3 linked regions of the Schizosaccharomyces pombe genome follow. The main gene of each other region encodes a partner of the protein of the gene in region 2 in a complex. Each region holds a gene or a part of one and is shown on either strand. Other genes may lie near its edges.

Region 1 (7,486 bases), on a different chromosome or scaffold from region 2:
GTGCCGCTAACCTTGATGCATTCTTGTCCAAGCCAATGACCGAGAGTAACAGCATAATCGATTCCTTGGCCTTGAGAAAGAGCAGCAATAAATCCACCAGCAAAGGCATCTCCGGCACCATTGGTATCGACGATTTCCTCAGATGGGACGCGGTTGGGCTTGTAAGTGGTTACTTTACCGTCTTTAGCAACGATCGTGGCATCGGCTCCTTGAGTAATGACAACAACACGGGTGCGTTTCTTGTTAACCTTCTCAACAGAAGACAAGGCCAGCGCAATCTCCTGGACGTCGGTACTTTTGATTCCATGATTCTCCCCGTAGCTAAGGATTTCAGCTTCGTTGCCAATAACATAATCACAATATGGGATAACGGAATCCATTTGCTCCTTGAAAAATTGAGAGAGGAAAGGAGCGCTAAGATTCATGATATAGGGCTTGTTATTCTCATTAGCATGTTGAGCTAAACATAACATGGATTCGGGACTGACGGTCAAGTGAAAACCACCGACGTAAATAACCTTTGCTTCCTCAACGAACTTCCATACATTCGGCTGTTGCAAGTCCTTGAGCTTGTAGTTGTTAGCAGCTCCCAAGTTGGTACAAAGGGAGCGATTTTTATTGTTGTTGCTCAAGACGACAGCACAAACACCAGTAGGTGTAGTGGGATCAACAGAAAACTCAGATCGTAATCCAGCTTTTTCGTTCGATTCAAGAAGCATATCAGCAAACTTATCTTGACCAACGCAGCCGGCGAAAACAGTAGAGTTAGGAGGAAGTACGTATTGAGCAGCACGGCAGCTGTTTTGAGCTGCACCACCGGCACTGTAGCTAACGCATGGCTCCTTGTAGATACCCATCTGGCTCTCAGAAGCTAAGACGGCGTCGTTGCTCTTCAAGCCATACTTTTCAAGAGTTGCAGTTTCACCACCAACATAGTAATCCAACAGAGGGTTTTCCAAACCAAACAAGATGTATGAAGACATGATAAATGATTGTAGTAAGGGAAGGGAAAAAGTTAAAGAAAAACCACGAGAAAATACACCAACAGGTAAAGTATCTTAATGTTCAAAGAGCGATATTATGGCATAATTGTAATGCGTTATATTATTAATACTATACTGCGTTAAATATCGATACATGCCATATGGTCTGTTTATCTTTCGCTATATATTGTATGGTAAAGGCATACTATTTTTAATAAACTATTAAAATTTGAGCAGCTAAAAAAATTATCAATATAAGCATAACTGTACAAGCATCCTCAATTTCAGTTATTAGCTATATTGGTGAAAAATATAATACTATGTAACTGAAGATTGACAGTGTATGTTACTTATTGTACCTGTATACTGGAATTCTAGGTCACAACTAATACTCATCGCAATTTTAACCTTCATTAAACTGATTGCAAACTGCATAATTAAACGATATAAACTGTATCACACTCCTTTGCGCCTCGGTATATTATAATCACAATACTTATTTAAGAAGGCCGATCACGAGAAAAATTAGAACTAATAAAGATTAAAAGAGTCGATATTTGATGCTATATACAATTGGTCATGAATATTAACTCCATTCCTGTATTATTTTTTTAACAAAGGGGTTGCTTCAACTTTTAGCGGAAAACTTATCAAAGTGTGGAAGAAATAATAAACTAAGATAAATGATGATCGAGTTGCACTGCGTCAGGGTAGCCGGTTGTCAAAATTTTCAATATACGAATAAAGAAATAAAAACAAAAATAGAGTGAAAAAAAAATAGATATCGGCATCATGCTAAACGTGGAGACGATGATCCGCCGTTTTTTAGGATAAATTTAGGATATGACAGGAGATTACAACTAAAGAACTTTTGGTGCTTCTTCAAATATCCTGAATAAAAAAGGTCGTTAATCTTCACCTTGAACATTCGCTTTCTTTTCCATAATAGCGCTAACAATATCTATGGATAGTAGCTGTAGGTTTAAATCGTTGATCAATTGCTCTGGGGCTGTAGAATCACTTTCCCATACTAATAAGATTAGAATTTCTTGCAAACGCTCAAAGCTATGTCGGAGATTAGCTTGATCATTGGAAAAGATAGTAATTAAGCTAGAAATGTCGTTTTCTAATGCCATAGCACCATAATCATTCCACTGAATCTTATATAGTATGAGGTTTTCTATATAACTTGCAGCTTTCTCGCATGCCATAGAGCGTAAAGAAAGCTGATTTTCAGGAGTAAATTGCTCCAGCAACAAAACCCTGTCCCAAACGCTGCGAAGACGGGTAACTACCAGTCTTTCATGTTCTGTCTCCTTCGTATAGTCTTCATAGGACAAGACATAGTTGATTCCATCAAAGGAATCATCGATGCATTGCTCAATTCGGGGTAATAAAAATATCGGAAAGTACATGTTGAAAGAAGTCTTGCAAAGATTTTCAAAATTAACGGTTAGCTGCAAAAAATTATCAATCGATTTCTTTACCAATTTTTGGTCTTTGGCAAAGGCAAAAACTTCTTCCAACCGACTAGAAACACCATCCACAATTGATTTTAGATATTGCTTGCTGAGTGAAGCACTATTTACCAATGTTATGTAGTTTTCGACTTGTTTGGCGGGAATGCTATTTGCATTCTTTAGCCTCTGGAACTGAGCTTTTATAATGTTACAGACAGTTAAAAGATTATGGGAAAGGTAGACATAGTAATCATTTCTTAAAATAGGGATTAAGCTTTCGTTAACAAATCTGGTGAAGAATAAAGAGGAGACTGTAAAAAACGCACGTTGGAATACTTGCTTCGTAACGTACATGACATCGTCTACAATAGAGCTCATCCATGGGGAAACCTTTGTGTAATATTCCTCAAGTTCCAAAGACGTTTCTATACTTCTCCTGAAATAGTATGTTTCTAATTGTAATAAGGATGGAAGAAGTTGCTTTTTTAACAGAAGTTCCATCTTTGAAGAATTGAAAATAGATGCACAAATAAGATTGTCCTGGACAGATGGATCATTCGAAGTACCATCAGATTGGGACAATCGAAGGACAAGACGGCTAATAAATATTTTTGAGATATTCCATTTGGAGACAATGGCTGACATTTCATTCAAAATCGGATGTAGCGTTTGAAGAGAGACCCTTTCTAATTCCTTTTGATCCGAAACAAAGGCACGATTTTTCAACTTCGCATGTAACAAAATGTATTTGTAAGAAGCTATAGAGCTTACGAGGTTATCAATTCTTCTCACGTCAAACATGGTATTCACGATAATGGAACCTTGGCGATCACAATCACCTTGCAATTTTTCAATAACGGTGATGGTGTTTTTGGCCTTGTAATATTTTTGAACAAGAGGCGTATGTGCGCGTATGATAGAAGCAACATGCTCGACCAGTCCGGTAAATGCCTGTGCAAAAAAAAGAGCATGAGTAGGGGGCTCATCGAGAGTGGCCCTAGCTTTAGAAGCAATAATTCCACCAAAAAAATGCCAATAAGCTTCTAATCCTTCCTTTTCTTTGCCGATCAAAGGGAAGAGTTTGAAGTAACGAGTGATTTCTTTTTGATCCTGATTTCGGGCGGCCTTATGGAATTCCCGCCAAAAGAGAGTGTGTAGAGATTCGGTGATTTCTTTTAAGGTGTCCATGGGCGCTAAAGGTTGCTCAGCTGTGGGAACAACGGCATGTGCAAATTTCCCTTCGATGATAGCCGGCGATGTGGAGCTTGCTCGATGTACTAAATCAGCTGCTTTTTCCCATTGTTGGTGATGCATAGCTCTGTTGAGATCCTGCAAACATTCTTTGAAATCTCGGACTTGACGAACAAATAAAAGACACTCTTTTATACGATTCTGTTCTCTATCGACCGATTTGATTCTCTCAATGACCTCCTCGCTAACGATAGTGGTATTGCAAAAAGCATCTTTAAGCTCTTCAATCTGACCTACAAACAGCACTAGACGTTCTGCCATATTCTTGATTAAAGAATTGAACTTCTCAGTCGGCTGTGCATCGCTTAGCAGCCTTTCCAGCTTTTCGTCGGTTCGTTGGGATTCGACTTGTAAGTCATGAAACCGTTGTTTAATTTGCGAGATATCAGTGCAGTCATTGATGGATATGTCCATTGTACACTCATTAAATAAAGAAAGACTAAAACGCGTTCGCAAATTATCTCAAAAAATCTACGAGGTTGTGAATATTAACCGCGCAAAATAACAATTAAAAAACTCAAAGTAAGAGTGAAAGAAACCAAAGTAAGGGTTGTCGTCAGTTGATTTTCGAATTAATTAATTTTTAAATAAATTAGTAAACCTTGCAACGTCTCCCATTCAACTTGCCAAATGCCGCACAATTGACTCCTACTAAAAAAAGAGTTACTGAGTGCATTGCAAATGGTCAACTTTACGATATCATACTATTCCAGTAACTAATAATTAACGAGACGATAAATATCATTATTTGACAGAACGCAACATCGCAGACTCTAATAGCGAGAGTTCGCTGTTGTTCTTTAAATGTTTGATGTGAGGCAGGAAATATAGGAGAGTATATTTTGTTGTGCAATCATTCATTCTTATAGTACAACTGTAATAAAAAGTCATGGAAGAGCAATTTCCAAAAGCTGTATTTTAAAAATTTACGGTTTTCTGCTACGCCTCGTTGTTAAATACAAATCCATGTTTTTCGAAATTTCAGCATATTTGTCACCAATGTGATGGCCAAACAACAACTCACAAAGAAGGTAGTCTATGTTAAACATCTCAGTTCTACCTAAAACATACTCATGTATACCCCCTTCTAAGAATTGCTTCTCTTTTTCTTTATTTATTTATTTTCACCTTGAATCCTTTACTCGATTTCCCACTGCTGTACCAATATTCCTCTCCTCGTCCAAACAACTAGATCTTTATGGAAGTTACTACTGGGAAGCGAATATTACTAAGACATTACAAAAATGTGTGTACTATTTTACGGTCGAATTGGTCGACACAAAGAAATGGTAAAACGCGACCGACCTACTAATTAATTCTAAAAAAAATCATCAAATTAACAATTGGTATTTGTTTGATCATAACGATGTATATGAAATGTCATAAAGTACTTGAGTGTAGAAACGCATGCGTGCGACGAGTGACGAGCTCAACTATAAGCAATTGATATGGAGGCGAAACTTTCTGTAAGGAGAGAAATCTAATCCTTCTTCATAGTATGCATCTCTTGGTCAGGCTCAAAATGTTGAATTTCAGGATGAGCAGACAAAGCATCTACTGCATTCTCAGGAAGAGAAACGCTGAATCCCTTAAATACGGTATCATAAGTATGACCAATTTTAGCACCAGATGCCTCTAAATCAGATTTTATTTTATCCATCGATGCAGGATCAACAGAATCTTTCAATTGAACGATATACGACTTTTGACTCATGGCGAAATAACGAAGGCGAAAAAAACAAGGAAAGTAGCGTTTCAGATTTTTTAGCTGTACTTAAAATTCACTTAATTGTCAAAAAATGAACAAGCTTATGTAGTACAGATAAGAAGGAATTGAGCGCAAAGGGGAAAAGGCTGGTTTATATAGCATTCGCCATGTGCATTACGTAGGTCAGCTTATCTAAATAGAACGGTTGTGCACATTGCTTGCTTAGCCAATTTATTAGCTCTTTCTCTTTCAGTATACTTTTTAACGAAAGTCAAAAGAACTTTGGTAAAATAAATAACAAAATATATATTACATTTTCGTATTGTACATTGAGAAGGCTATTGCATTTGCATATAGGGACACAATATTCCTCATTATTCCTTTTTTTCACGCAGTGTAGACAACGCGGTCTGGAAAAGACATACATCCATTGGAATTGAGTTGTATTTTTGGGATAGGCGGTTGAGTGAGAATGAAATTGAGAAATTAGATGCTTTAATAACCAGTGCTTTTAAATTGCTTCTTGCTTTTTGATCAACACCGTGATTTCACTCCTGCGAGGTACATGTTACCTAGCTTTGATCTAATTTGAAAAGTTGGACTCATGGATGGTAAAGAGAGAAATTTCGTTTTATCCATACTTAATCATAGTATGTCTCTCACGCATACTCTCACATAGGTAGTTAATTGGGATTCTCATTTGTTTAAAATTTAGCTGGTTTGCAAAGGAAAACAGGTTGACTCCTGTCTTTTTTGGGTCTTTGGGATTTCTTTTGTTTTTGCTTTTTCGTCTCTGGTTTTGGGTATTTTAAAAAAATCACAATGATTTTAGAAGACACGGATCTACCTTTAAGTCACGAACAGCCTTCTTACTCTCAAATTAAAGATGTTTTGGACAAAATTCCTACTGGGGAGCACTTGTGGGACCTTCCTAAGTATGAGGAGAAAATAATCCTCAATTGGCTTATCAAGCTCTTAGCTACAAATTTGGAATGGATCACAGTTGAAGAGGAACGAGACTATTTGGTTAGCACGATTTGTGAACGAATTGCAGAGCGTAGTGGTAGACTTGCAGCTCCTACTAGGAAGAGGGAATTTTCCCTTTCAAATGGTGTTTCTGTAGTTCTTCGAGAGCCCACTATGACCTATAATACTTTAGGATTTAAAACATGGGGGTCTGCTCCCTTGCTTTCAGCAAATCTTCCCAAATGGGAAGATTTGAGTAATTCCATTAACGCGCTAGAATTAGGGGCTGGGACTGGGCTTGTTGGCATTAGTGCAGCCATTCAATTAGGATGGCAAGTTGTATGTACAGATCTACCAGATATAGTAGAAAATATGCAGTATAACGTTGATTACAATTCTGAACTTATCCAGCAATATGCGGGTTCAGTAAGCTGTCATGTATTAGATTGGATGAATCCCCCAGATGATGATAACCGACCATCATGGCTTATTAAACCATTTCAACGGATTATAGCAAGTGATTGTATCTATGAAACTCATTTCGGCGAGTTAGCCATTGCACTGTTTCGTAAATATTTAGCTAAGGACGGGATTGTTATCACAGAGTATCCACTTCGCGAAACACATTTGGAAGAAATAGGTGTGTTTGAAAAGGGAATGGACGCCGCCGGATTTGAAAGACAAATGGGAGAAGAAATTGGTGAAGAAGACTTTGGCTCTCTATACCCAGTAACTTGTCGTTGGAGTAGATGGAAATACCATGGATAACTTAAAATGTATCAATCTATAGGTCAAACCATGTTGCAAACTAGAAAAAGCGAGCCAAAATAATTGGGTTTTATTTTTTCCTTGTTTGAATAATTTTAGATTTTAATAGCAAAGCAATAGATTCTTTTGTATTATTTACAGTATCAAAGGGAATCACTTTTGGTTTTAAAGCTGGCTTTTTGAGCCCGCTTTTTTCTGTTTAGAGGAACGAAATTGCGTAGGTTGGTTTAGATCAACAGGACATCGATACTGAATTACGGTTTAGTAGAAAATCTATTTGAGAAAGTTACCGATTGTTTTCTTGTAAATACTTTTTTATCCTTCCGCGTTCATTCAAAGCAACACATTAG
Region 2 (6,838 bases):
TTAATTGATAATTGGAAGGAAGGGTCACAAGCTATACAGTTATTTTATGCATATGAACAAATGCATTTGAGAGCTTTGGAAGAACTACAATCTTTAAAGGAAAGCCTTTTCGCATCTTTTGGTATATAATGATTATTATTTCCTCATTAAGTATTAAATTTAGTATTAAAATTTTTATTTGAAAATTTTATTTCTTCTTCATAACGTTTAACATTCAATTTATTAATATTATTTTTTACCCAGTTCACTTACCCATACTTCAAGCATACACCAGAACCAACGACTTTGTAAAAAGGGCATGTGTTTAATAGCTTACTCAGGGAGCGAATTGTAGCACGACTTTTCATTTTATTTTACATTACTCAGTTAATTTAAGATGAGACTTTTTGAAGGGGCTTTTCAGCCTTGGAAATTGGCGTCTACAAACTTGATGCAACAATGCCTTTTATTAAACAAAAAGTCTCAGTTTCATACAACATGCATTTTACAAGGTTTAAAAAAACAAAAAGCCAACCAACGTCGCAAACAAAATTTGAAAAGAAGGGAAGAGCTGCGAAAGCAAAATTTGGATACATTAGCTGACCCTATCATCGGACATTCGAGTGAATGGATAGCGAGATTATTAAAGCCGTACGAAATATTGGTGGAAAGAAAGAAACCAAATTTTCCTATACGTAGTATAAAATTTCCTGCATCAATGGAAACAATCAATCTTATTGTAGAGAAATTTGAAAAGATTAGGGCCTCGGCTACAGAAGAAACTAAAGATTTTATAAAGCTTAATGAGGTTAACGAATTTCCTTCTAGTGATACATCTTTGGAATCAAATCAAGATGGATTCGAGCGACTTCATCCACTTGCTGAAAGGTTAGAAAGGATGAGTCAATTAAGCGATCTTAGAAAAGAGAGCATTCACCGTATATTTAATATTGAAAATTCGAATTCTAAGACCTTAAGGTTGAATAATAAACAGCTTGCTGTAGAATCCTTTGCTAGAAATGAGCGAGATACTGGAAGTCCTGAAGTACAAGCTGCTGTCTACACAAGTCGAATTTTAGCGTTAAGCGATCATTGCAAGAATCATAAAAAAGATCAAACTGGAAAAAGGATGCTTCGATACTATGTTCATCAACGTCAAAGGATGCTCAAATATTTACGGAAAGTAAATTTTGACAGATATGTCCATTGTATAAAAAATCTTGGCCTTACGGACGAATTAGTTTTACGAGAAGTCACGCAGTAATAATTTGACGAAATTTATATTTGAAGTTTCATATAGTTAAATTCCCTCTCACATGCTAATCTCTTAACTAGATGTTTAACAAACATCCTTATCAATCATTACTGTTTACACCTATTGGATAGTAAGTTTTTGGCTTAGCACTTACCCTTAAAATGAGTAATAAGAACAATTAATTATTTGTTTTTTTTTTTTTAGGAAAAAATATATCTACGCCTGTTTCTCAGAAGATTGAGAATGGATCATTTCTAACCATTCGCTACCAAGTATTTTGGAGAGTGGTATAGAAATGTCTGTTCCCACTTTCGTTAAGCTTTGATTGCAATAATAAAGCTGAAGGAGTAGTGAGAATTTGGAAGTAGAATCTTTAACATTGGGCATAAATTTTTGTAAGACATAGCAAATTTCAAGTTGTAGTTTACGAACGAAGGACGAAAGAATATTTTGACCAAAGTTATTGAAGCCTTCGGGATCCATTTCAAAAGGTGACGCTGAAGTGCTGGTGGAATTAGGTATATCTACTGTACCTGCAGCGTTTAAACGATCATTTGATGACTCACCGAATACACTTTGATATTGAAAAAGGAGAGAAAATGCGCGATCACGAATGACCTGTATATATCTCCGTAAGTACAACTCAGGATTATTGTAGTCAAGCAATGGCACTAAATTTCGAAGGCTTGTTTGTAGTTGTTTCCATGAAAAATAAAGAAAAACGTATTTCAATTGGGCTTCGGACAGTTTTGCAGTTACCCGGAGATAGGTCACTACTTTGATTAATGAGTAAAGCTTTAATGGCTTCTGTAGCTGTAAAATAAGTTTCTCAGTAAGTTTAACCACCAGCGTTTCAACTTGAGTAATTAGTTCTTGAATGATAGAGTTTGTACCAAATCGATCTTTTAATCGATACGCAAGTGCTTGAAATTCCAACGTTTCGGAAAAGTAATTCCTTTCGATACAAGCGTTCATCAACTCTGGTAATTCCAGTATACTACTTAATTGCGGCTGAACTTGATGCATTAGTTTTGCATCTCTGTAATGCTCTGAAATTGAAGTTAGAAAGTTTTGGCTTCTCTTGACAGGTTCATATAGCTGATTTGTATGTAAAACAAGCTCTTTAAAATCGTGTCTACTGTTCTCGAGAAGTTGATAAAAGGCATCTTGATTCCTAGCATAATCGACTAATACATTGTAATTGTCTCGTAACAGTTGCTGGCGTTTTTGCACCAATTTTAATTTTTGAGCATGCAATTCGGCTTTTCGTTTCTCCAGTTCTGCATACGGTTTCATAGTAAGATCTCGAACAAAAGCATCCATTTCCGTTACATTATCCCCTATACTATCCATGTCTTCAAGATCTTTAAGCTTTCAAGTCAGGTTGTACAGCAAAACAATTCTTAGTGAAAACGCGTAAAAAAATCATTCACAACTATCTTCTAAAAAAAAGAAACTAATAGAATCTAAAAGAGCTACACGTTTGGATGAATGCGTTACGAATATAAGTACCTTATGTGTAGTAAGGGTTGGAAAGCACCAGCCTTAATGTAAGGATCCATTCTCGAGTAGAAACTTGCATCTTCATCTTGGAACACTGGCTAGATTTTCCGATCGTTTTGTTTAAAGGATTTAAACAATATTTAATTAAAAAAGGTTGAGCAATAGTATTCGCATTTTCTTTGAATAAAATAAAGCAAAAGCGCTGCGACAATTTAATTTATTTAACTTTTACATAAATCGTAGGCCAAAAAGTTATGAATCCAAAATGGTTATCCTAGGTAATGAAATAGATTGTGAATAAGACTGGATTGAACTGCCTCATCTATGCAGCCTGTATAGTGAAAATAAAATAGCTAGATAAAAAGCATGTAGCAATTGAAACAACCTCATAAAATGTAATGAATTATGAATTTAAGTAACAAATATCTATTTCTCGGACGGCAAAAGTCTAGTAAATATGTGTTTTAATTTCAGCGAACTGTAAACAATGGTGCATTTTCTTTACAGCATTAGTATAGTAACGAAATTTTTATCAAGCTTTCAACGTTTTCTTTACTATTGCACTTATAATTGTATTTGGAAATGAAAGACATATGGAGCTTTATTTCTCTTTCCTCTTCAGGTTTCTGAATTTATTGGATATAATGACACGGTGATACACGTTGTAATGAATTAAAGACTCACATTGCTACACACTATATATTTATAGATATCACCTGCATCTTAGGTTAATTATTAATTAATCTCATCGATCGCTTTCTTCTTACTTTAACAAAAACACATCGAAAGAGATACGATGTTTGATTTGAATACTTGTCTTCGTAAAAATATCTTAGAACTTCAGCCTTATCGCTGTGCGAGAGAGTATGTAATAACTTGATAAACTAGAAAGCGTGATATATATTAACATAGAATATAGTGACTTCTCTGAGTATGTTTTATCTTTATATTTGGGTAATAATTGATATGAGGGCTACTTCTAGAAAGATATTTTATTAGCTGCTTGGAAAGCAATGAAGTACTCCCTGTTTACTGTTGTTGTTGGAGCTGGCGATTTCAGGCCTTTGTTGTTTTTTACCCTTTTCTCGCCTATATATTTTTTGCTAATCTTAATAGAGGTGTCCTTCTTGATGCCAATGAATGTGCTTATGGTTCGGTTATTTCCGTGGACGGTGTGGAATTCAATCGTTATCCGGATCCTAGACAGATCGAAGTAAAGCAAAGATTATGTGATTTGAGAAACAAAGAGCTTTCCATTACCAAGCCACTAACACCAGATAACATTTGCATGGGTGTTGGCAGCGATGAAATTATTGACTCCTTAATTCGCATTTCTTGTATTCCTGGAAAAGATAAGATTTTGATGTGTCCACCTTCGTACGGAATGTATACGGTCTCTGCAAAAATCAACGATGTTGAGGTTGTTAAGGTTCTCCTTGAACCAGATTTCAATTTGAACGTCGATGCTATTTGCGAAACACTTTCTAAAGATAGTGCCATCAAAGTCTTTTTTGCTTGTTCCCCTGGTAATCCAACAGCTAAGGCTCTTAAACTCGAGGATATTAAGAAGATTTTGGAGCACCCTACATGGAATGGAATCGTTGTCGTCGATGAGGCCTATATTGATTTCTCTGCTCCCGATATGTCTGCCTTAACTCTTGTCAATGAATATCCAAACCTTGCTGTTTGCCAAACCCTTTCGAAATCTTTCGGTCTAGCAGGAATTCGGTAAGTTAATCTAAGCTTTTAAGCATTAATATTATTTCTTTACTAACTATGATGTTTAGTATCGGATTTTGTTTGACAAGTAAACCTATTGCTACCATTATGAACTCATTAAAGGCTCCTTATAACATTAGCGAACCCACCTCTCGTTTAGCTTTGGATGCTTTATCCCCTCAGTCGATTGATAAAATGCATACATATAGAGATGCTATTATACAGCAAAGAGTTCGTCTTTGCAAAGAGCTTACTACCATTAAAGGAATGGGCAAGATTATAGGTGGTTATGATGCAAATTTTATCCTCATTCAGGTTTTAGATAGACCAGAAGGAGGTAAGCCTAGTAACGATGCCGCAAAATATCTTTATTTACAAATGGCCACGATGCACAAAGTCGTTGTTAGATTTAGAGGTACAGAGCCTCTTTGCGAAGGAGCATTGCGTATCACTGTTGGCACAGAAGAAGAGAATACGATATTACTAAAAACTATTAAACTTGTATTGCAGGAATACTATACAAAAAAATGAGGTTTCCTTTTCTGGCCTATTAGAACGTTTCAATTAGACAAATTATAACTCTTTCCTTTCCCCTTCCGGACTCGTCACATTTCTTTTCTGATGTACCCAATATATTTTGTGTTCGCTAATTGCGCTTGCATTCCTTCTTTCTTTATTAAAATACGTTTTCTTCCTTTTTGGTGTGTTTCCGTATAGTTCGATAAGCAATGAAAAGATGTTATTTTTAATTTTGTAAAGGAGTTACGCTAATTTAAAGGATTATAACCCGTGTAATAAAAGAATTAAAGATTCGTTAGCTTTGCATAGACAGTGAAAGTTAGAAATGACACTGAAACTATACAAGTTCCTAGCATAAATCCGAGTTTTACGCTTGAATACGTTTGAGCGAAATACAATTTGATTATGGCGAAGGGAACAGTTGCAGCGATAATGCATGTCCCCCAAAATAGCATAAATAGAACAAAGACAGCCAACAGTCCATTCACGCGTCTCATTAATCTTTTTTCGGGCGTGATTGATCGTATTCCAGACATTATTTCCGATTCGAATTTTCGAGCCATTGCATCTGTAGAAAATTCATTCTTCACCCATTCACTCCCTGCTTCACCCATGGCAGCAGTATCATATGTAGTACTAGTAGTCGCTTCATATATAACATTTCCCCAAATTTTCGCGTCTCTAGGACGAAGCCAACCATTCTTTCCATCTATAACCGTTTCCAAGGGCCCACCATTCGTTTGGGCTAATACTGGAACTTTACGAAGCATGGCTTCCAAAGGGACAATACCAAAATGTTCATTTTCAGGAGTGTAGAGCAATATTCTAGAAGAAGAAATTAAAGCATCCCGAACCTTTGAAGGAACTGATAATAAAAACAATACATTGGTAGAAGGAGCAACAGTTATGTTATCCCAATTATCTTTTACAGTCGTATAAGAAAGATCCTTTTGTTCACAAAATTCCTGCAATTCTTTTAAATATCGACGATTTTCTGAAACACGAATATCGTAGCCACCGGCTACTAAAAGCAAGTATTCAGGAAATCGGTTAGCAGAAAGATCGCGCAATGCACTAAAAGCATCGATTGCAAGTCGAATATCCTTCTTCCTTTCAAATCGGTTGACGGAAATTAAAAGCTTTCGTTGACTATAACGTAAATACCTTATAATCAAATGGAAAGGAAACGTAGAAAGGGAAATCATTTCATGACAATCGATTTCCGTTTCTTTCTATTCCATAGATATAAGATATTTCCAAAGTTAGTAAAAATTCAAAGCACTAAAGGAAGACATACAGAATTTTTTCAGGGAGTTGAAACTCCAAAGGCTTGCTAGCTGCCTCTATATCAACGCAAGGATGAACGATTCGAAGGGGCTTACGAATTTTTGGAAATGCTTTTTTGAAGACGGAAGCTGTAAACTTGCTATTAACAACAATTCGATCTGCAAGTCGAACAGACTCTGCTTCAACCGTATCAAAAGGAATACGATACAACTTTTTAAGGATTCCACCGCGTTTAGCAAGATATTTGTCAGGAAAATGACAATAAAAAAGGATCATCTGGCTAGCCAAAAGAAGAAATGGAACACATGTTGAAAGCTGATCTACAATAATAGCGTCAAAGTGCATGTAATTCGTCAGAAGGATCATCGTCAAGTAGACTTGTCTGAGAGAGCTGCAGAAAATGCTGAGCCTGCCAAATATAGAAGAAGGAAGCCAATCACCATATACCTTTACCTTTATAGTACCTATTATTTCATAAAGTTAGATATATATAAATGCCATCATCAATCCTCAACTAGCAATTCCAGGCACCTACCATCGCGTATTTCTTCGAAACAATGTTTTTTATCACAATGA
Region 3 (9,615 bases), 640 kb from region 2:
TTCCTCCTAACGTATTTCTCTTTATGGACTAAATGAAGGTTAGCTGTCGCGTTATAAAGGCAAGATAATCAACTTACATATAACAGCTTCTCGGTTTCTTCGGGGAAGTATTGCATGCTTTCTAAGATTTCACGAATTCCTTCGAGAACGACTGGGAAGAAATCTAGAAGTCTTTTCTTAATGCCATTTTTTTCATTAAAATCGTTGACCATTTTAGTATTTTTAATTGTACATGTATAAGAACCAGCTTGGTATAAGACTGAGAACTAGCACAGGTCTTCTATGAGAAAATATTATTTAAAATGACAAATAACCACAATTCTTGAATATAAAATTTGCAAATTACGCGTGAAAGCGCGTTACAAATTTATCTCGTTTTTAAGAATCAAGTATATCGATCAAAAACACTATACTTATTTGAAACATCTATTTGGTCCTAAATTTTCAAGACAATTAGGATGTTTATCTAATGCTTAAAGTTTAGTAGAAATATAGATTTAGGACTCCTTTGGTGGTGAGGGCAAACCATATTGCCTTCGCGCTCGCAACGCAAAATTGAGGATTACTGGCGTTCATGATGCTTCACCAGCAATAGCACACACACCATGAAAAATTTGGTAACACACCTGCATCATGTTTTTCCAAATGTAAATGGCTCAATTAAAGCCTTGGCTTTTAACAGTATAAGTGATAAAATTTACGTGGTTTGTGGTTTGGATAATGAGAATCCTGGGATCGAGATATATGAAATATCTGAAAATGACGATGTCTCAAAATTAGTTGAATTTGATTCTCCCTCTTTCGTTTCAGATAATGGGGACATTGATGAGATTCAAAGCATGCAGTTTCTTGGAGAACCCATGGCTATATGTTTATCATTGAAAGGAGGTGACATTGTGATGGTAAAAGTAGACCCATCGCCTGAGGAAGCGCCTTGGGAAATAATTGGCAATGTTGAGAATGGCATTGTTGCTTCATGTTGGTCAACTGATGAACAGGTTTTTTGTATCATAACGGGTGGAGATACTATTTTGTTTATGACTAAAAATTTTGATATCATTTCAGAAACTTCTCTATCTGATGCGGATTTGAATGAATTTAATAAGCATATTTCTGTTGGTTGGGGTCGTTCTGAAACCCAGTTTCGAGGAAAACGAGTTCGTGCTAAATTACGAGATCCTACGCTTCCTGAGAAAATAGATGAGGGTAAACTTTCTGATGTTGACGATGGCAAAACTTATATTTGCTGGCGTGGTGATAGTCAGTATGTTTCTATAAACCGTCTGGAAAAGGGACCACGTCGTGCTATTCGTGTTTATTCTCGTGAAGGTTTGTTGGATAGTATTAGTGAGCCACAAGATGGGCAACAAAGTTTGCTTTCATGGAAACCATCTGGATCCGTTTTAGCAACAATTAAGTCAGATAGTTCCGATAATTCCTCTAAAGTCATCTTTTTTGAACGCAATGGACTCCGTCATGGAGAATTTTCGTTACGTCGAAGGGAAGACGAAAAGTATACTGGATTGGCTTGGAATGTTTCATCATCAATTCTGGCCGTTTCGACCGAAAATTCAGTGATGCTTTGGACAACCGGTAATTATCATTGGTATTTAAAGAAAGAAATCAACATTCCTCAAAATGCATTAATTAGTTGGCATCCAGAGCATGCCAATACGCTTTACATAACTGGAAAAAATCACATAGAAAAAGTGGTTTTTGACCTCAAATATGTAACAGAATTTTCTACTTCTCCAAACGATTTTGGCCTCATACCTGTCATCGATGGCTCTTCGCTGTTGGTCACACCGTTGTCTTTGTGTAATATTCCCCCTCCTATGTGTCGTTATAAATTGTCTTTAGACTATAATGTACAAATGACTTCGATAAACGCAACATCTGACATGCTTTTTGCTGCTGATGATAGGCGCTTGACGGCGTTTACTTTTAACTCACAAGAAGATATTGCTAAATTTGGAGAATTCGATATCTCGACGTATGCTGAAGGTCTGAATTTTAAAAGTCTTCTTGGTTTATCAGGAAATCAGGTTCTGTTGTTGGCAGATGGCACAAATAACTGTTCAAAGTTTTTTGTTTTTCAATGTGACGAAGACAATGAGTCCTTGAAACTTTTGGCTTCCGAAAGTTTCGAAAGTTGCATACTTAATGCCTCCTACTGTTCGGAAATGCTATTTTTTCAAACTTCAAGTGGAAAACTTATAAGTTACAATTTGAATGTAAAATCAATTGAATCCATTTCTTTGTCGTTTCCCAAACCCTGTTCTGATTTTGTTGTAGTTCCTGTCCATGAAACCTTTGTTCCTATAGGTCTCACTTCGTATGGCAGGTTGTATGCTGAGCAAAGACTATTGAGCACAGGCGTCTTATCGTTTTTCTGCACCGAAAGATTTGTATTATTTACAACAACTAAAAATCTACTTAAATTTGTACACTTGGTTTCTACCGTTGATGATCTGCAAGTTGTAGAAGACGATGCTGTGGATCGACACGATGAGCGATGCCGCGTGGTTGAAAGAGGGTCGAAAATTGTTGCCAGTATGCCTTCGAAAATGGCAGTGGTTTTACAAATGCCTAGAGGAAATTTAGAAACCATTTACCCTAGAATTATGGTTCTTGACGGAGTACGTACGTATATTAAAGCTTTAAAATACGGTGATGCTTTCAAGGTTTGCCGCACTCATCGTCTTGATTTAAATATACTATTTGATTATGACCCAGATTTATTTTTGAAAAATATTCCTGTTTTTGTAGATGGGCTGTACCGTGTCGATTATTTAGACTTGTTTCTCACTTCTTTAAAGCCTGAAAACGTTACTACAGGGATGTACAGTGATACATCCAAGTCACAGTCTCAGCAATCTGTCACTACCATTGACAATAAAGTTAATTTATTGTGCAAGATTATTCGCGAACATCTGACTTCAAAATACGGTGATACACATTTTCAAGCAATAATTACTTCCTATCTTTGCGAAAGCCCTCCAAAAATTGAAGCAGCTTTAGGCATGATATCTGGACTAATTAAGGCTCAGTCTGAAACCGTAGATCTGGCAATCGAGCACATGTGCTTCTTGGTCGACGTCAATATGTTATTTGATCATGCATTAGGGCTGTATGATCTAAAATTAGCCCTTTTAATTGCCCAGCAGTCTCAAAAAGATCCTCGTGAATATGTCCCATTTTTACATGAATTTCAAAAACAGGAATCACTTCGCAGGAAGTTTAATATAGATTGTTATCTGAAGCGGTATGAGCGAGCACTAGGACATCTAAAGGAAATGGAAAATGCGTTTGATGAATTCAAAAACTTTACTATTCAACATAAGCTGTACCCTCGAGCATTAGAGTTATACAAGTATGACAAGGAAGCTCAAAAGGAGGTTTTAATTATATTTGCACAATACCTTCGAGAAAATGGTAAATCAAACGAAGCTGCAATTGCTTATGAATCTGTTGGAAAGATCAGTGAAGCCATCGAGGCGTATAAAAGCGCCGGAATGTGGAGGGAATGCTTGTCCATTTTACAGCAGACTACAAATTCAGAAGATTTAATCCGGGAAACTGCTGAAGATTTGGCTAGCTTGTGTATTGAGAAACGGGAACATTGTGATGCAGGTAGCATCAACTTACTATACCTTTCGAATCCAAGAGAGGCAGTCATTCAAATGTGCAAAGGTTCACAATATTCTGAAGCGATTCGGATTGCTCGCGCCACCGGTGATTCATCTATATATAAGGACTTACTAATTTCCGTTCTTGGGGAGTCATTTGGTGAAGCTAGTGAATTGGTTGCCGACTTTAGAAACCAAATCAAGTCACAAACCGAAAGAATATTAGTGCTTAGAGAGAAGAAAAAAGAAGATCCTATTAGTTGGATGGAGGGGACTATGGAGGACCAAACGCCTGATGACATCTCACTAGCATCTACAAGTCTCTCAACAAACAGGTCTTTATATACGCAATACACCAAGAGTAGCAACTCGTCTAAAATGACAAGAAACACGTCAAAGAACAACCGACGTTTAGAGAGAAAACGCGCGAGAGGAAAAAAGGGAACAGTATTCGAAGAAGAGTACCTTGTCAATTCCTTACGGAGGTTGATCGCTCGTGTTGAAGAAATTCGACCTGAGGTGCATCGTTTGCTCGAAGCACTAGTACGCTGTAATATGACCACCCAGGCTTCAGAACTTCAACGTAATTTTGCAAATGTTATAGGTACTATTGGTGAGAAAGTTATTCCCATTCTTTCTGTTCCTGTTAGCACCTTTGAGACTGCTCTTGGAGAACAACCACAAGCACCGGTTGTTCCAAACGTTAAACCTTTTGAAAAATTGAGTATTTTAATATAGGGTTAGGATTGGTTTTGGATAAATGGGGAAATTTTTTCATTTACATATAGATTTACATTTAGTATATCTTCAATATTTATACAAAAGCTTAGATACGTAAATCCTGGAACAAAATAGTTAAGCAGAAACTGTTAAACACTAATGCTTAATGTAGTTAATTAGAGTAGGTGAAATAGATTGTACCCATGGATGATCTTTATATGTATCACATAAACGTTGAGCATTGTTAAGACTTTCAAGCCAAAGTGGATGTGATGAATCATTACTTTTGAGGAATTTTAATATTTGGTCAAGTAAAAGCAAATTAGAAGCAATTAGCTAGATGTATTAGCATAATGACCAACTTATTTGGGACTTGCGTTATTTTACCTTTTCGTTTTCAACGTCTTGTTTGTGCTTCAAATTATTTTGAATTTCAGTTGAATGCCCGATTAAGGATTGCTTCGAATTCTTTAAGCGAACTGTTAGTAGACTGAAACTAAAAATATAGTGTTTGTAGTTATTTGTATTACCTTTAATTGCTCTTCTGAACGATGTATTGAAGAAATCAGGGTACTAACTTTAGTATTTCCGCTCTTCATTCTGCTTCCAAGGTGAACAAAATCTTGGTAGTTATCTTTTACTAGTAGCATTAATTCATTATTGACCTGCTCAAACAGTCGACTTAATTCATTTACTAAACCATCAAGACCTAAAAATCTTTTGGAAACAAGAAATTCATCGGGTGAAAACGGTCCATCTTTACGAAGTTCTTCTGTGTTTAAATAAGCATCCGATAAAAACGCGTCAACCAAGTCAGAACCACTATCTGCGTCTTTTTCAGTCATGGTAAATAAGGAAAATGCACGATCGTTAATGTAGAACTTTGAAGTACAAATCTACTACCATCTCTAGTAAATCATGGAAGATGAATTTCGATTAGTAGAACAGCACGATGATGGACTAATATGCAAACAACGATGGATATATAGTAAATGATTATGTTGTTAGACACTACATGCATGTTGATTTAGTGCAACTCAACGTATTACTCTAGCGAAGCAATTGCAGCATAAATTCTTCTAAACACCAGTAAATTAAGTTAAAACTTTACAAATGTCAGAAAGCGTGCTCGAGACTGAAAGGTACGCGCACGAAGAGCTAGAAAGGCTGCAACAAGCTATTGTTGATAGACAAGTTGCCAACCCTAAGGCTCCTCGTGAACGGCTTCGGCTTGAGCATCAGAGTGCACAATTTCTTAACCAATTTCGCGAAACTAGCAAAAAGTTGTTAGTTTCCCATGAATCCTCTGATCGGTAAGTAAAATCAAGAAAATTGTAGTATTGACCGCTAACTTGAATTCGCTAGATTAAAGGATCAAGAAGTTGCGCGTATCAATGCAGACGATGATTTAACAGAGTTTTATAAATCGCTGGGAGAGATCCAAGAGTTTCACAAAAAATATCCTGATCATAAAGTTGAGGATCTGAGTCAATTATATTCCATAAAGCCTTCTCAACCCGGGATTGACGAGATTGACACGTTATTTCGAGGTGAAGAGATGTATGGTCGATTTATGGATCTTAACGAATGTTACGAAGAATATATAAACTTAAGCAATGTACAGCATATTTCTTACTTAGAATATTTGAAAAATTTGGAGGATTTTGATCAAATCCCCAAGCCTGAAAAAAATCAAACATATATCAACTATATAACTCATTTATACGAATACTTGGTGTCCTTTTATCGCCGGACACACCCTCTGTCAAACTTGGATAAGATTATTGCGGTTTTTGATACTGAATTCGACGCAGCATGGGAAGCTGGACTTCCTGGTTGGTATTCACACAACGCTGAAGCCGAAAAAGATGGGAAAGACTCGACGGAAGCATTTTATTGTGAAGTTTGTCAAAAGTTTTTTGGGAAGATCACTGTATTTGAAGCTCACAAAAAGAGCAAAGCACATAATAAGGCCGTTAAGAGGATGCAGTCTTCTAGTCCATCTACCACAAGTAATACGAACGAGAAGCAAAAAGGACCTAAAGCGATTGCCCGTATCGAGTTTTTAATAAAAAAGTTAACGTCTTTGCTTGACGATGTTCGAAAGGATACTCGTGAAAATGTTGTTCGTCGACAAACTTTGACGGCTGCAGAACGTTTGGCAGAAGTAGAGGCTGCGGAAAGAGAAGCCTTTGAACAATCGACTCCAAGCGTAAGTGTTGAGGGAAATCAGGATGAGGAAAGTGATCAGGATGATGAGGAAAAGATATATAACCCTTTGAAGCTGCCATTGGGATGGGATGGTAAACCTATTCCATTCTGGCTTTGGAAACTCCATGGCCTTGGTAAAGAGTTTCCCTGTGAAATTTGTGGAAATTACGTGTATATGGGTAGAAAGGCATTTGATAAACACTTTACTGAACAAAGGCACATATACGGGTTAAAATGTTTAGGAATATCACCTTCACCTTTATTCAATCAGATTACTTCTATTGATGAAGCTTTGCAACGTAAGAAAAAAATGATTGTATTTGGTGAGTTTATGTTACTAACGAAAATTTTTAGTTTGGCAAAAGTACAAGGTGGACTCAAAGAAGCGGGAAACCACAATGGCGTCTCTCAATGAAATGGAAGATGACGAAGGTAATGTGATGTCTGAAAAGGTTTACAACGATTTAAAGGCCCAAGGTTTATTATAAATAACGTACATGACTCAATTTTTGTAGTCGTGTAAGTGTACATTAAAGAAATAAAAAATTGATATTTTCTTCCTACTTGAGTTATAAAATGCTGAGCATGCTCCTTTATTCTTCTTTGCGTTACATACCGAAGCAAACGAAAAGAGAAAACATGAAAGCTAAAAGGCATACTATTTTGAATTCTCGTGACACAGCATGTTTTGATCTTTTATTTCCCCCCTTTCTTTTTGATTGCGAAATTTTTGATAGTTTCTCATAGCACTGCTCAACGATAGATCTCCTCCCGGCATTTTGACGATCTAAGGCCCAGTTGGGTTTGATTGAAATTCTAGAGTTCTGTTATCTTTTACGTATACGCTTCTACGGGCTAGTTAGTGTTTGATGTAGCAAATGCTATAATTTTCTCAAGCATAATAAAACAATGAGTCTTGTGCATTATCACCGTATTAAAAAAAAAAAAAACTAAAACAAATAAGAATTATTTCAGCTAGAAACCAAATCCAACTCCTTCATAAGAGATAGTGTTGTTAATACATAAAGTACATATTTTATATAAATTTCTATATATCTTTTATCCATAAACATAATTAAATGACACTTTTAAAAACCCATTAGTATAATATAGGCCTTATTCCGCTTTGGTGCGTTATTATATATAGTGCATCGTAAACTACAACCTTATAAAAAGTGCGATGCATATCCTCTGTCGTACCCCACCTCCACCAAATGCATTGATTCGCTTATGGCTATAGTTTAAGTAAAAATGGTTAATTATTGGAGCTCCTTTGTCCCGCCAACCAGAAAACCGCATATAAAAATAGTTCCGCTCCACTGCTCTGTACATAAAAAAAACCATACACTAAGAAATTGTACATTAGTTAAAGATCCCAAAAAAAGCATATTTTACTTACGGGCTGATTTCAATTTAAAACAAACTCGAAAAGTAAAGGTGCATCAGTTAGTAGATCTTACCTCAGAAAAAAATTAAAGAAAAATCTTACGAGCGGCCCAGAAAGAAACTTTTGGTTTTCTTAGTTCTTGAGAGACAAAAGTTAATAGCTAAAAGAAGTTAGCTAACTTTTTTGATTTAAAAGGGTCATTCATTCTTTTTTTTTTACTTAGTTCACGTAAAATTTCATAAAATTTAGGTATCCTAAATGAAGATTTTTGAAAGTTGCCACTTATTTCAATATCCTTTTGAACAAGTTTCAGCGGCTCACTGGCAGAAGTATCCCAATGAGCATGCTACTCATGTGATAGCCGTGGATACTCTTGATCGCAAGGTTTTGGATAATGGTGTATTGTATACGGAACGCTTGATCACGTGTCACCAGGCCCTTCCTAGATGGATTTTAAAATTGATTGACGGTGCGCAAGATTGTTATATTCGAGAAACTAGCTATGTTGACTTGAAAGCGCGCACTTTAACACTTTTAACCTCAAACTTGACGTTTAGTGATCGTTTGAGAGTAGATGAGACGGTGACTTACTCACCCCATCCTGAACTGGAAGCTACTGTTTTTCAACAGGAGGCTCGAATTGAAGCCTTAGCGTGTATGAAGCGGTTGTCAAACCTGATCGAACAATGGTCGGTTGATGGTTTTGGAAAGAAAGCTTCCCGTGGAAAAGAAGGCTTCGAAAGTGTTTTAGAAAAAATAAACATGTCTGTATTCCAAACGCGACCGTTTGGTTCTTCTGAAGCGACCGCATAGACTTTGTTTCTTGATTCAACCTCTCTCTTTTTTCAAAAGTTTAAAGTTATCGGTTACGAAATAATCTTTTCTCCGTCAGTTGGCTTGCGAAATGTTGCAATAAGTCGTCTTTTAGTTTTCTGTTTCTCGTAATATTACTCCTCTAACCTATTTTTGATCCCCTCTCTTCTATTCTCGTTCTTTTAATTAAAAACTTCTTCAAGTTGATTGACCATTATCTATGTCTACGCTCAAAGATGTTTGTTGTTTTTAAAACAAAATGTGTGTCATATTTTTGACCAATACGACTTATAAGCTTTTTCCAAACATGTGTGTTTACAACTTTTATACCATTAATTTAATCGTCTATTTCCCCAAAAAATCGTGAATGCACAAATGATGATGCGCTATGTTAATCGCTTGCTTCTTTCTCCCCATGGAATAGGCTGCTTTCAAATCATCTATCTGAAAATTAAAAGGTTTATTCTTTCTTAAATGCAATATCTGTTTTACAAAACAAGATTGGACATCCACTCCTTTTTTTTTTTTAAAATTTAGTTAATATAATAACATTCATATAACAAGCGCCTAAATTATCATTGCTTGAATTATACAATTAATACATTTTGCATTCATGTGCAATTCGCATTTAAGTGTAATACGAAATCTGTAGAATTTGTGGCCAAGAACCAGTTTTCTTAAAAACTAAAAGAGAATTGTACAACCTCTCGCAATTATTAGTATTACCCATAACGTACTGAATAAAAGGAACGGGACTTTCTCTTTAGTGCCTGTCTCCTATACTTACCAGCCAACTTTAGTGAAGCGGAAAGTGTTGTCCCGGAGTTTCATCCGTCTTCCAACCGCTACCGACAC

Evidence for each region.
Region 1: cog8 (region 2) and cog4 share a complex: the UniProt entries of both Schizosaccharomyces pombe proteins name them as parts of the conserved oligomeric Golgi complex.
Region 3: cog8 (region 2) and cog2 share a complex: the UniProt entries of both Schizosaccharomyces pombe proteins name them as parts of the conserved oligomeric Golgi complex.

Annotation. Positions count from the first base shown.
Region 1 is NC_003421.2:1,350,102-1,357,587, forward strand, and holds cog4 (COG complex subunit Cog4), read right to left. Parts: upstream 4,345-7,486; 5' UTR 4,109-4,344; coding exon 1,892-4,108; 3' UTR 1,373-1,891; downstream 1-1,372. Other genes in the region: ado1 (adenosine kinase), read right to left, coding at 1-983; proteinase B inhibitor Pbi2, read right to left, coding at 5,175-5,408; efm2 (methyltransferase Rrg1), read left to right, coding at 6,225-7,136. UniProt on the Schizosaccharomyces pombe protein: Component of the peripheral membrane COG complex that is involved in intra-Golgi protein trafficking. COG is located at the cis-Golgi, and regulates tethering of retrograde intra-Golgi vesicles and possibly a number of other membrane trafficking events.
Region 2 is NC_003423.3:1,486,360-1,493,197, reverse strand, and holds cog8 (COG complex subunit Cog8), read right to left. Parts: upstream 2,759-6,838; 5' UTR 2,588-2,758; coding exon 1,451-2,587; 3' UTR 1,244-1,450; downstream 1-1,243. Other genes in the region: random septum position protein, DNAJ domain protein Rsp1, read left to right, coding at 1-129; mrps28 (mitochondrial 37S ribosomal protein uS15m), read left to right, coding at 377-1,243; bifunctional histidinol-phosphate aminotransferase/imidazole acetol phosphate transaminase His3, read left to right, coding at 3,534-3,601, 3,657-3,668, 3,854-4,465, 4,525-4,987; mannosyltransferase complex subunit Alg2, read right to left, coding at 5,260-6,124, 6,273-6,726, 6,798-6,838. UniProt on the Schizosaccharomyces pombe protein: Required for normal Golgi function.
Region 3 is NC_003423.3:853,026-862,640, forward strand, and holds cog2 (COG complex subunit Cog2), read right to left. Parts: upstream 5,304-9,615; 5' UTR 5,195-5,303; coding exon 4,880-5,194; intron 4,818-4,879; coding exon 4,737-4,817; intron 4,686-4,736; coding exon 4,506-4,685; 3' UTR 4,368-4,505; coding exon of another isoform or gene 606-4,367; 3' UTR 501-605; downstream 1-500. Other genes in the region: spo9 (ER farnesyl pyrophosphate synthetase Erg20), read right to left, coding at 1-28, 78-212; elp1 (elongator subunit Iki3), read left to right, coding at 606-4,367; U2 snRNP-associated protein sap61, read left to right, coding at 5,463-5,662, 5,715-6,859, 6,915-7,048; phosphatidic acid transfer protein Ups2, read left to right, coding at 8,206-8,760. UniProt on the Schizosaccharomyces pombe protein: Required for normal Golgi morphology and function.